Coturnix japonica: one gene and its partners. The protein of the gene in region 2 interacts with the protein of the main gene of each other region in a biochemical or structural test. Links are inferred from orthologs where the notes say so. Each region holds a gene or a part of one and is shown on either strand. Other genes may lie near its edges.

The links.
Region 1: the proteins of guanine nucleotide-binding protein G(q) subunit alpha (region 2) and PLCB1 form a complex in vitro, tested with the Homo sapiens proteins (2 studies listed by BioGRID, with this or other methods). The link is inferred for Coturnix japonica from reciprocal best matches to the Homo sapiens genes GNAQ and PLCB1.
Region 3: the proteins of guanine nucleotide-binding protein G(q) subunit alpha (region 2) and GRK2 form a complex in vitro, tested with the Homo sapiens proteins (3 studies listed by BioGRID). The link is inferred for Coturnix japonica from reciprocal best matches to the Homo sapiens genes GNAQ and GRK2.
Region 4: the proteins of guanine nucleotide-binding protein G(q) subunit alpha (region 2) and RIC8A form a complex in vitro, tested with the Homo sapiens proteins (2 studies listed by BioGRID). The link is inferred for Coturnix japonica from reciprocal best matches to the Homo sapiens genes GNAQ and RIC8A.

What each region holds. Positions count from the first base shown.
Region 1 is NC_029518.1:12,402,393-12,405,892, forward strand, and holds part of PLCB1 (1-phosphatidylinositol 4,5-bisphosphate phosphodiesterase beta-1), read right to left. Parts: intron 3,172-3,500; coding exon 3,062-3,171; intron 1-3,061.
Region 2 is NC_029547.1:34,140,840-34,144,867, reverse strand, and holds the start of guanine nucleotide-binding protein G(q) subunit alpha, read left to right. Parts: upstream 1-1,228; 5' UTR 1,229-1,373; intron 1,374-1,708; 5' UTR 1,709-1,717; coding exon 1,718-1,853; intron 1,854-4,028.
Region 3 is NC_029520.1:143,770-147,101, reverse strand, and holds the end of GRK2 (beta-adrenergic receptor kinase 1), read right to left. Parts: coding exon 3,299-3,332; intron 3,058-3,298; coding exon 2,960-3,057; intron 2,886-2,959; coding exon 2,778-2,885; intron 2,702-2,777; coding exon 2,635-2,701; intron 2,557-2,634; coding exon 2,456-2,556; intron 2,374-2,455; coding exon 2,307-2,373; intron 2,240-2,306; coding exon 2,144-2,239; intron 2,073-2,143; coding exon 1,910-2,072; intron 1,803-1,909; coding exon 1,666-1,802; intron 1,600-1,665; coding exon 1,486-1,599; intron 1,387-1,485; coding exon 1,225-1,386; 3' UTR 610-1,224; downstream 1-609. Other genes in the region: ANKRD13D (ankyrin repeat domain-containing protein 13D), read right to left, coding at 136-609. UniProt on the Homo sapiens protein: Specifically phosphorylates the agonist-occupied form of the beta-adrenergic and closely related receptors, probably inducing a desensitization of them. Key regulator of LPAR1 signaling.
Region 4 is NC_029520.1:1,396,882-1,400,379, forward strand, and holds part of RIC8A (synembryn-A), read right to left. Parts: intron 2,413-3,498; coding exon 1,798-2,412; intron 1,236-1,797; coding exon 1,141-1,235; intron 724-1,140; coding exon 573-723; intron 1-572.

The DNA of each region.
Region 1 (3,500 bases), on a different chromosome or scaffold from region 2:
CATCTTGGCCCTCACAACGCAGTCTATGTTGCAAAAAGAATGGACTCAACAGCTTATTTCTACCAAAGTTACAGGAGAGAGATTCTGTAGTCAGAAACATGATGTCACTGAAAACTAATGCCAAAAACTTTACTTCTTTAAAGCAGAGGTGACTGCAATAAAATAAGGACAAACATAACCTAGCCAGCATTTCTGACAGTAGAACAATGTCATGGGCAAAAGCTGGAGCTGTGACCAACACATAGAGGCATGGTAATCCCCTCAACTCCCCTTAAAATACATTAAAATACATTTCTCACAGGATGCAATCCATTAGTGTGACAATATATATTCATATATATAAAAATCAATATTTATCTATTGAAATTTATCTATAGATCAATATTTATCTATCTATATAGATCAATATTTAACACACATCATGCTGGGATTCCTATCTTCTGGCAAGTAGGCAGCCTAAAAGTCATTATGTGTAAAATGGGTATTGTCATCTTCTATATCTGTATGTGAAATGCTGCATTGCAGCTTGTTGAGAGCTATTAATATAGCCTGTCAGTTTGGGACATAAAACAGCTGCTTTCAGAAACAAAGGCAGAAATGTGAGACAGGATCAGGAAGTGAATAAAGAGTAATTTTCACTGCATCAAGCAAATCTAATCTCATTAAAAAGCACTTTCTCTTCTCATAATTCATCACACAGAATGGTAAAGTAAACATGATTTTCCCCTGGTGGAGAACATTTTAGGCTCTTTTTAAAATACAATGCAATCCAGCCCAAGAATTTATATTTCCAGTATATTTCCACACGTTTCCATGTCTTTTGCAAGACAGTATGTTTACTATGTTGAAAGATACATACTCATACAAGTACTTATTTATATGGGCTGCATATTTATTTCTGAAGAGAAAAAGAGTTGCGATGTACTGGGATTGTGAGATCCTCTTCTGGTACTGAGTACATCTGTGCTGCACTGCCAAACCAGGAGGAAAGACCTGAAGTCAGTTTGGCTCCATCTTGGCAAAGTATAAGCAAGTTTCTCTATAAGACGTGTCAGAATAATTTAATTTCCATTACTCCACCTAGATCTGTAACTCATAATGGGAATATTACAAAACAAACAGAATAGATGCTGTAAATGACAATTAACAGGCACTATAATTTGAAGCTTAGAGAAAGGTAAATTTATTCATTCAGAACAATTCACTACTAGATTTCTTTCTTTACTACTGTTTTGGAAGAAGTCAGGGGAACTTCCCACCAAGCAAGCTGCAGCTTAAACTTCTAAGTAGCAAAGAAAAGCCTTCAGTTTTCCTTTGATAGATGCAAGAATGCAGCTCAGATATATAAGAGTGATTGAGAAGTGGGGAAGGAGTGTGGGGAAGGGAATATGTGCGTGGAGGCAGCACAGCTTTAGACACAAACATTAATAGGGTGTAGACAGAAACTGCACATAAGGAAACTGAGTGCAGGTGTACTTACATGTACATGTCTGGCAGACATACTCAGAATTATTTAGCTGTGTTGCCAGTGAATGTGCTTGTCATTTATAATCAACGTGGTTCTTGTGGGCAAGTGTAAGTAAACAAACCAGTCAGTCCTGCTGACTGCTGAAGAAAATGTTTCATCAGATAAGATCAGGTAACTCAGTATTTCCAAGCACAGCCCAGCTGCCAATTATCTTACCTAGAATCACAGTTTATAAATAGATAGTAACAATGGTACACTTAAATTGCCATTTTGAGTGGCATTTTTTTAACCTGTCTATTTCTACTGCATCTAATTGAACGGTTATACATTTTTAGTAAATGCACCGCTGCAATCAATACAGTTTTCCCTTAAAAATATTTCTCTGCTACTCTGAAGTACACTCCTTTATCCCAAAAGCTTTAAAGCTCCCTGACACATGGTAATACTACTGAAGCACTACAACTCAGGTTTCCATCTTCGCATTTGCTTAAGAAGATACTCTGTGATAGAATTTTTCTAGCAAACAAGCCTGTACAGACCAGAGAAATCTGGACTTTTTTCAAAAGTAAAAATGACCTCTAAGGTATTTAAAGGATCATGTTAAAAAAAGATTTTGCTATTAAAATAGAATCTCATGTGTAGAGTGTCCTAGATAACTGTCTAAGATACTACTGAGCATTTCACAGTGTCCTCATTCAGCCGAACTTGTGACACTGCACAAAGAGTAAATTGTTGGCCACTGAATTGTAATGACTTTCACTTTTCTGGTCTGCTTTGGGAATGTATTCTTGGTTACAAAATCTAGTTCAGTGATGCTTTGCACATCCGAGAATTGAAGAAGGCAGTTAGCGTAGCTGAGAGCAGTTTAGGATTATGAAAGTATTCATCTTTGCTAGAGACCCCTTCAGAGTGCCTTTTGATTCAAGCAATATTCAAAATACAAAGTTGATGTTCTCAAACCATGCTGAAGGTGTCACAGTGATAACGTCTGGAAGAGAGATTGAACATCTGGAGGAATACAGACTTACTTCATTGGAAGTGAAAGCTAAACTGTCAGCATGATGAAGCATGCTCAAAATTACATCTATGCAATTGTATGTACAACAAAGAGCTATAAACAGAGCCTACAATACTGTACAATACTTTCAGGCAAAGCTGCTCGTACAGCATTGTTACTTATATAATATATATATACACACTATATATATATATATTGTATATTTTTATGTATATATTTAAATATATATATTCATAAAGGCAATTTTTGCACCACCCTGGAAAACAACAGGCACTGACTTTAATGATTTAATGTGCTACATGAAACATTGCAACAACCTAACTCTGTTTCCCAGTCAGCTTTTAGTCTCTCTTTACCTCTGAGCAGTACTGCAGGTTTTGCACAACATGCTTCTTCTGGTGGAAGCACACACACAGCACAATGCTGCTGTGCGGTCATATACTCTAGTCTCATTCTGAATGAGATGTTAGCAAGTATTCAAGCAATCAATACACACAATTTGAGGACTTCCCAAGTGAAGTAAATATCTTTAAGCACAGCAGTGTAATTTGCAGAGACTCTAAAACCCCCCTTACCTCTTTCTTTACCTCTTCTTCATCTTCCAGAGTCAGTGCTGCCAATTGCTTAGCTCTCTGCTCCATCAAGTTTACATATCTAATTGGATTGGATAAGGCCTCGATCACATCTAGAAATAATACAAATACATCAGTTCCAAACCTCTTATATGCTCCTCAGGCTTTAAGATGCTGTACCTTTCCTACAGATCTGCCACTGAGAGATAATCTTAAGTCATAGAAACAGCAGTGAATGACAGTATACCATCACATGCAAGTACTCTAATGTACTCTTTCAGATTTCCTGTTTGGGTTATGTGGATGTTTATTTTTCTGAACACAGCATTTTATGATGGCCTTACACCCAACTTGGATTTTACTTCTCATGAGGCACAGAAAGGAACAGTACAAAAAAACCTGTCATTTTAGAAATAAAAACAACAGAAGTACTATACAGGAT
Region 2 (4,028 bases):
TCAATGTGAGTCCTATCTAAAATTCAATTTCTAAAAACCTTCGCTCAATTTAATATTGAGGCATTAACCTGGAGACACCGGATAGACTGACAAATACATTGCTATACTTACGTACACAAAGGTTTTATAATAGAAATGATGTTTCTCTACTGAAGTATCATTTCTGATTAATAACCGAGACATATTGATTTGGAGGGATAAAGAAATGCAATTATAAAACCTTTCTGACTTGCACTGACCGTTCTTATACATCGGACACAAAACCCTACCTGGAGCTAGGTAGGGAACGTTCATTTTCTAAAGCAACGACAACAACGTTTTGTGCCCACAAAATTAATTGACTGCACGACGGGGCTGATTGCGCTCTCCGTTTCAGCCCCCACAGCGTCCCGCTCTACGCCTGCACTGCCAGTCCGTGCGCGAAGTGTTCGGTACGCACCCGCGGACCCACGGCCGCGGTCGCCGGGGTTGGGGTGCAAAGGGCACGGCGCGGGGAGGGTGGGGAAGGCCGTACAGCCGGCTCGGAGCAGGCACGGCGCTGCGGCGGACAGCGCGCGGTGCGTCGCGCCGAGGGGGGCCGAGGGCCGATAGTGGGGTTCTGGTGCGGACGTCCCCGGGCTGGACGGGCGGTGCGCGGTGCCGTCGTTGTGCGGCTCTCCTTGCCGCAGCACGGCATCCACCCGCACCTTCGCGTTTCCTTGTGAAGGTGGAGAGGTGTCTTCCCCCCTCCTTTTTCCTTCCCAGGAATTCATGCGTTTCCCCTCTCCCGCGAGCCGCAGCCGCGGAGGAGGATGGAGAAGCGCGGTGGAAATGTTCGTGGGCGCCCAGCACAAGGGCGGCGGGGCCCCGCGCGGCAGCACCGGGAGGAACCGCGCATCCCCGCAGAAAGGGCCGGAGGGGCCGCCTATCCCTGCGGCCGCTGGGCGACAACAGTCGCCTTCCTCTAGCCCCTTTCTCTTTACCCTCTCCTCCTCCACCTCCGCCACCGCCAATGCCGCGGGGGCGCTCGGGGGGGCAACGGGCAACGACCGGGCTGCCGGGCACTCCCGGCCACTCGCCCCCGACGTGGGGCAGCGGGAGGGGGAGCGCGGGAGCGGCGCTCCGCCATATTCCTGTCTCACCACGCCCGCGTAGCCGAGCCATTGAAAAGCCGGGCGAGCCCGGCCCCCGCTGCCTCCTCTTCCTCTCCGCCGGGTTCTGTCCGCCCGCCCCCTCTCCCGTCTTCCCTGTCAGGGTCGAGCCGTGCCGCGGTAGCTCAACGGCAGCGGCTGTCCCCGCCAGAGGGGCGGGCGAGGAAGCTCCCTCGCCGGGCGCAGCCGAGGTCGCTGGGCTCCGACTCCAGGGCGAGGGCAGCGGCCGGGCGATGCCCGCGCGTAGGTTCGGCGGGCTCTAGCGCTCGACAGCGGGCGGGGTGCGCGCTGCGGGCGGCGGGGGCGGCGGCCGCCGCCGGGGAGTTCGGGGTTCGGCCGGGGAGCGCCGCTGCCGCCGCGGTGGAGGCGTCCGCGCTGTGCGGTGCATGATTGAGAGGAGAGGAGGGGTTGGGAGCGGTGGGGATCCGAGCCGCCCTGCCTCTTTCTTCGCCCGCGTGCGGCATCGAGGCGGTCCCCGCGCCTGCCCTGCGGTGCGCGGTGCGGGCTCCGGCCGGTGCGGGTGTGCGAGAGAGTGAGTGCGTGCGATTTTAGGGGGGTGGGGGCTGTGTTTGAACCAGTTAGGAAGAATGACTCTGGAGTCCATCATGGCGTGCTGCCTGAGCGAGGAAGCCAAGGAAGCCCGGCGGATCAACGACGAGATCGAGCGGCAGCTGCGCCGCGACAAGCGGGACGCGCGCCGGGAGCTGAAGCTGCTGCTGCTGGGTGAGTGCGGCTCGGCGCCGGCAGGCCCGGCCCGGCCCCGCGCGGCTCGGCGCGGCACGGTGCGGGCCGTTCCCGTCTGCCTCCGGGGAGCGCGCCAGGGTCCCTGCGGTCGGGCCTGAGGCAGCGGCGGGGCCGGCCCGGCTCGCCCGGGCTCTCGGCTTGTCGGCCGCGGCCGTCAGAGAGCCGCCGGCCCTGCCCCCGCCGCCGCGGGGCGTGGGTGCCCGCCGTGGTAGGCTCGGTGCGGGAGGGAAGCGGCCTCCAACATGGAGCTGAGAGCGAGGGACGGGAGGGGCGAGCGTCGGGGTGATGGGGGCTCGGGGGAAACTGCCCTGCCCTGTTCCGCGGCTGTTAGCTTGCTTGGCGCATTTTTATTTGTTGTGATTTTTATTTAATGAGGTAAACTGGGATAAGGGGCTGTGCTGGGCTTGTAGAGCGACGTTACGAACGGAAGAGAAACGACGAAGGCCAGCGTGCGGGCAGGGAGCTGATAGCAACCTGAGGCGTGCCGAGGATGACAGGATCCTGTAGTACTTTCGGAGCCCACCCACCCATCAGGAAAGAAAATCCTCGGCATTGTATGTCTCTCATTAGAACGGAGGCGGTTGTTTTGGAGCTCCAAGTATGCAGCAGCGATACTTATCTAGTAGGAATTTGGCTCCTGTTAAAATGAGCCTTTTAAATTAATGTGTTTATCCACGTCCTGTACTGTGGCTGTGCAGTTGCTGCCCGTGACTTGCAGTGGCTGCCATGTGCCCTCCCCAGTGCCTCTGAGTTTTAAGGGAGGGCTGCTCTCATGGCCTGTATGTGGGGCAGGGAACAGGACAGAGAGGTTAGGCAGTGCTTCCCCGTGCAAGTGCTGTTTGTTGCTCTGTGGGATTCACTGTGTCCTCTGACATGGAGGAAGGCTTGGGGCTCCTCAACTGATAGGGACATTGGTGGAGGTGGCGCTTGCAGTAATGGCGTTCTGTCTTGTTTCTGGCCTGGTTCTGCCTGGTGACTGTTGTGGCTGTTTGGGAGTTCACAATAAAGATGAACTAGAGTAGATACCATCCATACGGTTGGACAAATGCGAGCTTAAGTACAGTTAGAGAATGATGCACGCTCACTTCAGCGGAGACAGCTGGCATACCAGGCATGTTAACTCAGGTCCAAACTTTTTAAGTGTTTCCATGTTTTTTGTTGCAGTGAAGTCAGAGTTTTCTCCCAAGCTTTCAAAACTGCAAAATATGTATTGACACCAATAAACTGCCCAGAGAGCCCACCTACCCAGTGCCACTGGCTGTATGCAGACCAAGGGCAGACAAGGAGCTCTCTGGGCGGCTGCTGGTGTGTCTTGCTGGGCTGCTTGCAGGAAAGCTTTCTGCTGATGTTGTTGTATTGTAGAGCCACAGAATGGCTGAGGTTGGAAGGGACCATAAAATTCCAATTCTGCTGTGTGCAGGGCTGCCATCCACCAACTCAGGCTGTCCAGGGCCCCATCCAGCTGGGCCTTGAACGCCTTCAGGGATGGGGCATCCACAGCTGCTCTGAGCAGCCTCTGCTAGTGCCTTGCCATCTCTAAACTAAATCTTCCCTTTTTTAGTTTAATGCCATTCCTTTCTGTCCTGTTCTTATCTGCCTGTGTAAAGAACTGGCCTCCCTCCTGTTTATAAGCTCCCTTCAAGTGCTGGATGGCTGCAGTGATGTCTTCCTGAAGCTTTCTCCAGGCTGAACATGCCCAGCTCCCTCAGCCTTTCTTTGTAGAGGAGGTGGTGTAAGCCACCTCTTCTGGTGTTCTGATGTGCCAGGGGAGATGTAAGCAAGAGGTGCTAGAGACCAGGATGTGTGGGTTCAGTGCCCCTCTGGGCAGCATGGCTGGCTGTCTTTGGGTAACAAAACTGGAGCAGACATTGTTACTGTGTGCACATTTATGGTTTTTCTGTGTCACGCTGTTGTGCTGGGCTGAAAGTGTGTATGCCTGTGCAGCTGTGTGGATTAACACTTAATGATCTCATCTCGTGAAATGTAGATAGTGGTGAACCACTGTTGAAGTCGTGGCATTGGGTAGAGGTTCAAGCGTCAATTTATAATATATAATAAAATAATAATAATTTTATTTTATAATAAAATAATAATTATATAATACATTTTTATATATTATATAAGATAATATATATATATAATAATTTTGAGGAG
Region 3 (3,332 bases), on a different chromosome or scaffold from region 2:
CACCCAGCGCTCCCAAGACCCCACGTCCCCCCATCTCCCCAGCACCTCCCCGGTTCCTCCGTGTCCCCGTACCGCCGCTGCCCCGCATCCCCCGCCGTGCCATGCCCGGTGCCGTGCCCGCGCCCCCCCCCGCACCCGGCGCGCACCGTGCCGGAGCGCAGCGCACTGTCCAGCGCCTGGTGCCGGTTGTGCCACACGAGGCGGTGCAGCGGGAAGGTGTCTGCGGCGCGGGCCATTCCCGCACCATGTCCCCGGGATCCGGGCCGGGCCGGTCCGGGCCGTACAGCGCACGGGGGCCCAGCAGCAGCTCCGCGCCTGCCCGCAATGGCTGCGCGCGGGGGTGGCGGTGGCGCGGTGCAGCGCAGCGCAGCGCAGCGCGGCGGCGCGGGGCGGGGCCGGCACCGGGTAACCCCCCAGCGCCCCCACGGCACCGGGCGCTCGCCATGTCCTCCCCACTCTCCTCGTCCCGGTGCCGCCCCGCAGACTCCGGAGCCTGACTGTGGTTTTCCACATTTTTATTATAAAAAAAACTGCTTTTTTGTTTGTTTGTTTCCCTTCTTTTTTTTGTGTGTGTGTGTTTTTTTTAGGCATTCTCACGTTTCCGCTCATCCATCCCTCACTCGCACCGTGCTCTGCCCGCCGCTCCTCCCCACGCTACTATTTACAGATGCCAGCGGGCACAGCAGGCGGAGTCGGGGGTCGTCCCCACTTCTCCTCCCCAGCTGCCTCTTCCCGCATCACCCGCTGGCTCAGGGGGCAGGGGGCCCATGGCACAGTATTTACAGGGGGGCCCCCCGGGCGCGCACACACACACACACACACACACACACACACACACACTGTTATTCACACAGGGGACTTGGCACCCACAGACGGGCACAGCCGGGCTGGGGCACGTGCGGCACAGGGAGCCGCTGCTGCCCCGTTTGGCACACGTGGGTGGTGAAGGGGGGCGGTGGTCTGGGGGCAGGACAGCAGGTGGGGACACGGGACTGCCTTCATCTGAGCCGGAGCGGGAGCAGGGAGTGGTGCTGCACGTTCAGCACCAGCTCCGCTCCAGACGGTGATGCCATGGATGTGCCCTTCCATGGGCAGGGGGCTGGCACTGGCACCAGGCGTCCTCCTGGAGCTCTGCTCAAGGACACCAAGGAGTGGGGGTACGTGGAACCCAACCCAATAAATTAATGGTAGGGTGGGAAGGGCGGGGGGAGGCAGGGCAGGGGGTCAGAGCCCATTGGCAGAGCGCTGCAGGAAGGGCACTTTGCTGAGCTCCACCACAGGTGAGCGTGGCTTGTTCTGCATGCGTGGCACCCGCTGCAGCAGCTGCTGGGCCTGGCGCTGGGCATCCCGCAGCTCCTTCTGCCACTGCACCAGCTCGGGGTCGCTCTGTGGGGAAGCACATGGCTCAGAGCAGAGCTCCCCCGACTCACCATCCTGCCATACAGTGGATTAGTGTGGCCCCCCAAGGGCCCGTGGCACACTCACATCACACTGCAGCACGAACTGCTTGCCGCCACGGATGCGGAGCAGGATGCACTTGCGCTCCTTCACCTGAGTCTCCTCCACTGAGTCAATCTCCTCCATGGTGAGCAGGGACTGCTGAGAGGATGGGCTCAGCCCAAGCCTCAATAGATGAACCCCACATCCCCCCCTTGCCCGCCTTACCGGTGACTCGCCTTCCCCACGCCACTCCAGCCGGTTGGGGAAGAGGTAGAAGTAGCGGCGCTGCCACTGGGTCAGAAAGGGGTTGCCCAGCTTGGACATGTACCCATGTACGATGCAGTCCTTGCCCATGGCGTAGTCTGTGGCCCCCGCAACACAGGAGAAAGGTTCAGTGCCAGGCACTGCCACCGCTGTGCGGTGCCGGCCGACACCAGGGATGGGGCAGGGGACACCTGGCCCCACTCACCCTCCTCGTGGCCCAGCTGCTTGTTCTTGGCTTTCTTGCGCGCCTCCTGCTTGTCTGTGTCTGCATTGACGGTGTCAAAGACGGTCTCAGTCACCTCCTGCTGCCAGCGCTCCGAGATAGTGAGTGGGAAGTTGCGGTACAGCTCCTGGTCACTCTCCAGCAACTGGTGGGGAGGTGGGATCAAGGCCTGCCCCATGCCAAGCCACTGCCCGGTGCCAGCCCCCAGCCTGCTACCTTGATGCCCTTCGTGTCCTCCTCATCAAAGGAGCCGATGTCAAAGGCGTCAGCTGCATTCACCTCACCTCGGGGCGGGATGAGAGGTGGGGTGTACTGTGGGCAGGAGGGAGGCAGTCAGGGGGTGCCTGCCTGCACAGGCTCTGCCCTGCACCCCTCTCACCTTCTGCAGGAACACCATCTGCCAGTCCAGGCCTTTGAAGAAGGGCTCCTCCTTCACCTCCTGAGCGCTGTAGGACAATGCAGGGTGACTGTGGCACTGCTGCCCACAGCGGTGCCACCCGTGGCCCCACCCCCATATCTGGGACTCACCCACGCCCCATGCAGCCCAGCCGCTGGTTGACGTCGCGCTGAAGCAGCCCCTCAAGCAGCGAGCGCAGCTCAGGGGAGAAGGATTCGGGCAGCTCCACAGCCTGCAGGGAAAGGTTTGGATGCTCACAGCCACACAGACACGTGAGTGCTGCAGCACAGTCCAAGGACCCCCAGCTCACCATGGTGAGGGTCATGCGATCGATCTCGTGCTTGTCCTTTGTCTTGTGCTGCCGGAAAGGGCTGTGCCTGCAGTCACACAGAGTGGGGCTCAGCCATGCCCCTGCTGCACAGCCTCCCCAGCACCCTCCGTGCCTACACTCACCCGCGGAGCAGCTTGAAGAGCATGCAGCCCAGCGAGAACCAGTCGGCACTGCTGTCATACGCCGTTCCCTTCTGCAGCACCTCCGGAGCCATGTAGCCATGGGTACCCCTGGGGGCACAGAGCGAGGTCAGGGCCGTGCCCAGCAATCACAGGGGAGTGCCGAGATGGGCGGGCACACTCACACGCTGGCATGGGGTTTCTTCTTGGAGAAGTCACAGGCCAGTCCGAGGTCTGAGATGCGGACATGACCGAACTCATCCAGGAGGATGTTTGCTGGCTGCTGGGACATGGAGCCACCCCTGAGCCACAGCCCAGCCCACGGCCATGGGTGGCAGCTGGGCTGAGGGTGCCTGTGCACGTTAGGATGGGTGCAATATGGGGTGCAGGGATGACTGCAGGGTCCCAGAGATGCCCACAGTGCCTAGGGGCTTCCTGCTGGGTGTAGGGTGCCCATAGGACCTGGAGGTCTGTAGGGCCCCCAGATTTCCACACAGTGGGTGGGTGCTCATGGGGGCGGTCACCTTAAGGTCACGGTACACCACGAAGCAGCTGTGC
Region 4 (3,498 bases), on a different chromosome or scaffold from region 2:
CTGTGTCCCTCTCTTCAGCGTTTCTACTCACACAGAACATCTAGAGCAGAGAAGTGCAGCAGTCAAATTTGGAGACCCTCTGGAATAACTCCAGAGAATGAAAATGGCCACTAGCTTAACAACAGTGCAAAATCAGGCTGCCAAAAGCAATGGAACAGAGGAGGACAAGCGCTTAGGAGGAGGAAAGAAAGATGAATGGTCTTGACAAATAACATTATGACTGCCAGTCTTCTGACAGCAGACTGTGGGGACAGCATCATAACAAGCCACCAGTCAAGAGATTTGGCTGTATCAAACCAATTCAGCTGCCCAACAAATCATAATTGACTTGAGTGAAACAGAGCACCTGTATTTGAATCACACAGCTAACCATCTGCTGGCTCTGTCAGTCTCACTACCTGCCAAAGCAACAGTGCCACAGCAACCCTCCCAGTTCACAAATGTTCTAGTCCAACCAACTAGAACTGCCACTTCTATACTGAATTCAGGCTGAATGCAAGCTTCCTTGTGCCCTGCAGTGAGCTTGTGTAAACCAGCAGTGAAAAGCTCTGTACAGCAGCCTCTCAGCTTACCCTGTCAAGGCGCCGTTCTAAGAAATCCAACAGGATATTAACTGCATCCATGTTGACACCCATGTACTCAAGTGATCCTGGACGGACTTTTGGAGTCAGGAGAACATCCAGACATTTCAGAGGCAGGTTGCCCAAAAGATTAACTGTGTGGCTTAAGAAAGAACAGAGGTGAATACATAGTCAAGGATCTTTGTTCACAGAAACTCATCAACTATACAGGAATCAAGGTTCATTATTAGCTTCCAGGATCAAGAGGACTCTGAAAACAGACCCAAACTCTCTTTGGGTTGGATCCCAAGCTACCTATACCACTAGAATTGAGCAAGTGTAACTGCTTTCCTTCCCCAACCCTCATAGTTGAATAACTTGCTGGAAGTCCAAAAATTCTTCAGTGACAACAGAAAAACAATGGACCTTGACACAGAGGCCAAGTAGGACCAAGTAGGTCTCTAGAGTCTCCTGCTGCATCACTCATTCATACTCTGATGGCTGTTGTCAGGCAGGGCCAGTGTTGGGGAGACCTCAAGTCTGTGTCCAGTGAAGGCCATTATGTAGTTATCTAACAGACCTGTGGAACTCCTCCGTCCGGTCCTCTCCGTCAGCACAGATCATGAGGCAGTGGCGCAGGAGTGCACCCAAGTGCCGGTACAAAGCAGCATCTTCCTGGTTCCAAAATAGAAAATGGAAACCTTGATCAGAAAAGGGTCTCCACAAACCAAAGCCTGTTGTCTCTACAACCCACAGCCCCATCCCTCCCCTCCAACAACTTGCTCACTGACAGCAGGGTGTATATGTGCAACTATCCTCCAGATTCTCCATCTGCTGCCAGATATCTTCCCCATTGCCCTACAGCACCAAGTCAGGGGCTGGAAGAGGCCCAGGAGTGGGCACAGGGATAAAATAGACATGATATCAGACCTCCTTCTGACTTTGTCCAGAGGTGAAAGGCAGCAGGACACACACAAGTGAGTTATGTGTACATGGGGGGGTTCTGCTTTCCCACTTGCACAAGTCAATATCATTAAGAAGGAAAAATGCCCAACTTACAGGTCTTAATGCTGTAAAGTCTTAATGCATCAGAGGCAGTGCCCTGCAGAACAAGGTCCACACACACAAGTCTCTTGCTACCCTTACATGCAAGCAGAGGCTGCAAGGGGGCTAGTATCTAACACAACATAAGAGTAGACAAGCAAATGTAGTGTGGTGCAACACTCGAGGAGCTTACCTCATCCACCTCCCTCTTGCTGGAATCAAAAGTAATATTGAAGAGCACTTTCAGGATCTCCATGGCTCGCTCTGTCTCTTGCCGAGGCAAAGGTGGAAGCAATCCTTCCTCAGTGGCAACCTCATAGGGGTCCATCCACTTGACACCAAGAGTCAGCTCCAGGGTGTCTGTCATCAGGCTGATGCCCCGGAGCTCCTGGGCTAACTGCTGCCGGATATCCACTCTCAGTGCTGTCAGCAGGAAGAGAAGACGCAGGTCAAAGAACTTGACTTCATGAGGAAGGCTCCTCTCGTTGTAGAGTTTGATGCGCTTTGTCAGGCCCACTGCCAGCCGGGCTTCAGCTGTCAGCTCCTGTGCTCTCGGACTGCTGAAGACAATGTTGCAGAGGCATTTGAGGGATTCCAGGATGACCTCCAAGTCCGGGACCTCTCGGATGAGCTCCTCTGAGTAATCAATGCCAGCATGCCTGGATAGGGTCTTCAGCCCTTCCTCGGTGCTGAAAGGCTCAAGGCAGTATTTGTCCCGTGACAGGATGCGGATGCTTTCCAAGCACGTGACCTGGCAGGATGGCTGGAGCTCTCTCTCCAGAAACTTGATCAGCAACTGGGCCATTTTCTGCGTGGTTAGAAACAAAGAATGCCACACATGCTGACACTTCACAGTGCAGCCCCAACGCAAGGTAGCATGCTGTAACACCTAGGAGCATCACCTAGATACAAAGCATCATCTAGATACAGGCCTTCTAACAGGCAGCTCTCAAAGCGTTTGCTTCTGGCACCTGATGCTGACCCAAGTCAAGCAAGGACAACCAGCAAGAGACAAAGAATGGCTGGGGAGTGCTGTCAGAATTAAGTGAAGAATAGGAACAGGCAGCTGCTGCTGAGTGAGTGAACTACTGCTTATTTTAGCTTCACCCATGGTTAGGATGGTTTTGGCTAATATGGATTACCTGACAGCTGCAATAAGCTAAGAGAACAGTGCAAAAAAGTCCCTTATATCTTCACTGAGAAGCAGCACTCAGTTCAACAGCAGTGGTTCAGCCTCACCCAGAGCATTAAGACTAGAGAAGCTTCTGCTTTGGGTGCTCCAAACAGGCTGCTGAGGCTGACACCAGAGAACTGCTGTGGGAGGGGAAAAAGAACTTAATGGGTTCAGAATTGTGTGTGATGTGGTAAGAAAGGAGGGGAAAAGACCTCAGAAGATTCAAATAAAAAGGACCTCCCATAAATTTCAGTGCTGTCTGGAGACCTACTACCCCTTCATAGGTACAGACTGACAGCTCCAGTAACACTGATTTACCACAGCTGAAGATATAACCCTTGTGGATAACAATAACATACATGATAGCAAACATGGAAAAGTACAAGAGCGAAAGGTAAAGCCTCACACAACCCAGTGCAGCTAGGTTGTAACTACACATAGCAACACGTCACTCCACCATTAATCCCCTGCTTCCACACACGACCCACCACAAAACTGGTCCAGATGGAGAATAACAGAGATAGAAGAAAAATGTTCTTTCCTAAAGCAGATCCTACCAAGCATATCTGCAGTGCAGCCGTGCAAAGGCCTGCCCCAGCACAAGAGAAATGCCACGAGTGGAAATGGACAGGGGTATTTCTTTCCACTGAGTGCCAGATTATTCCAGCTTAAAGGGTTTGTTAATAGACAGCTTTGGTCAAATCCTGCAGCTCGCTCACA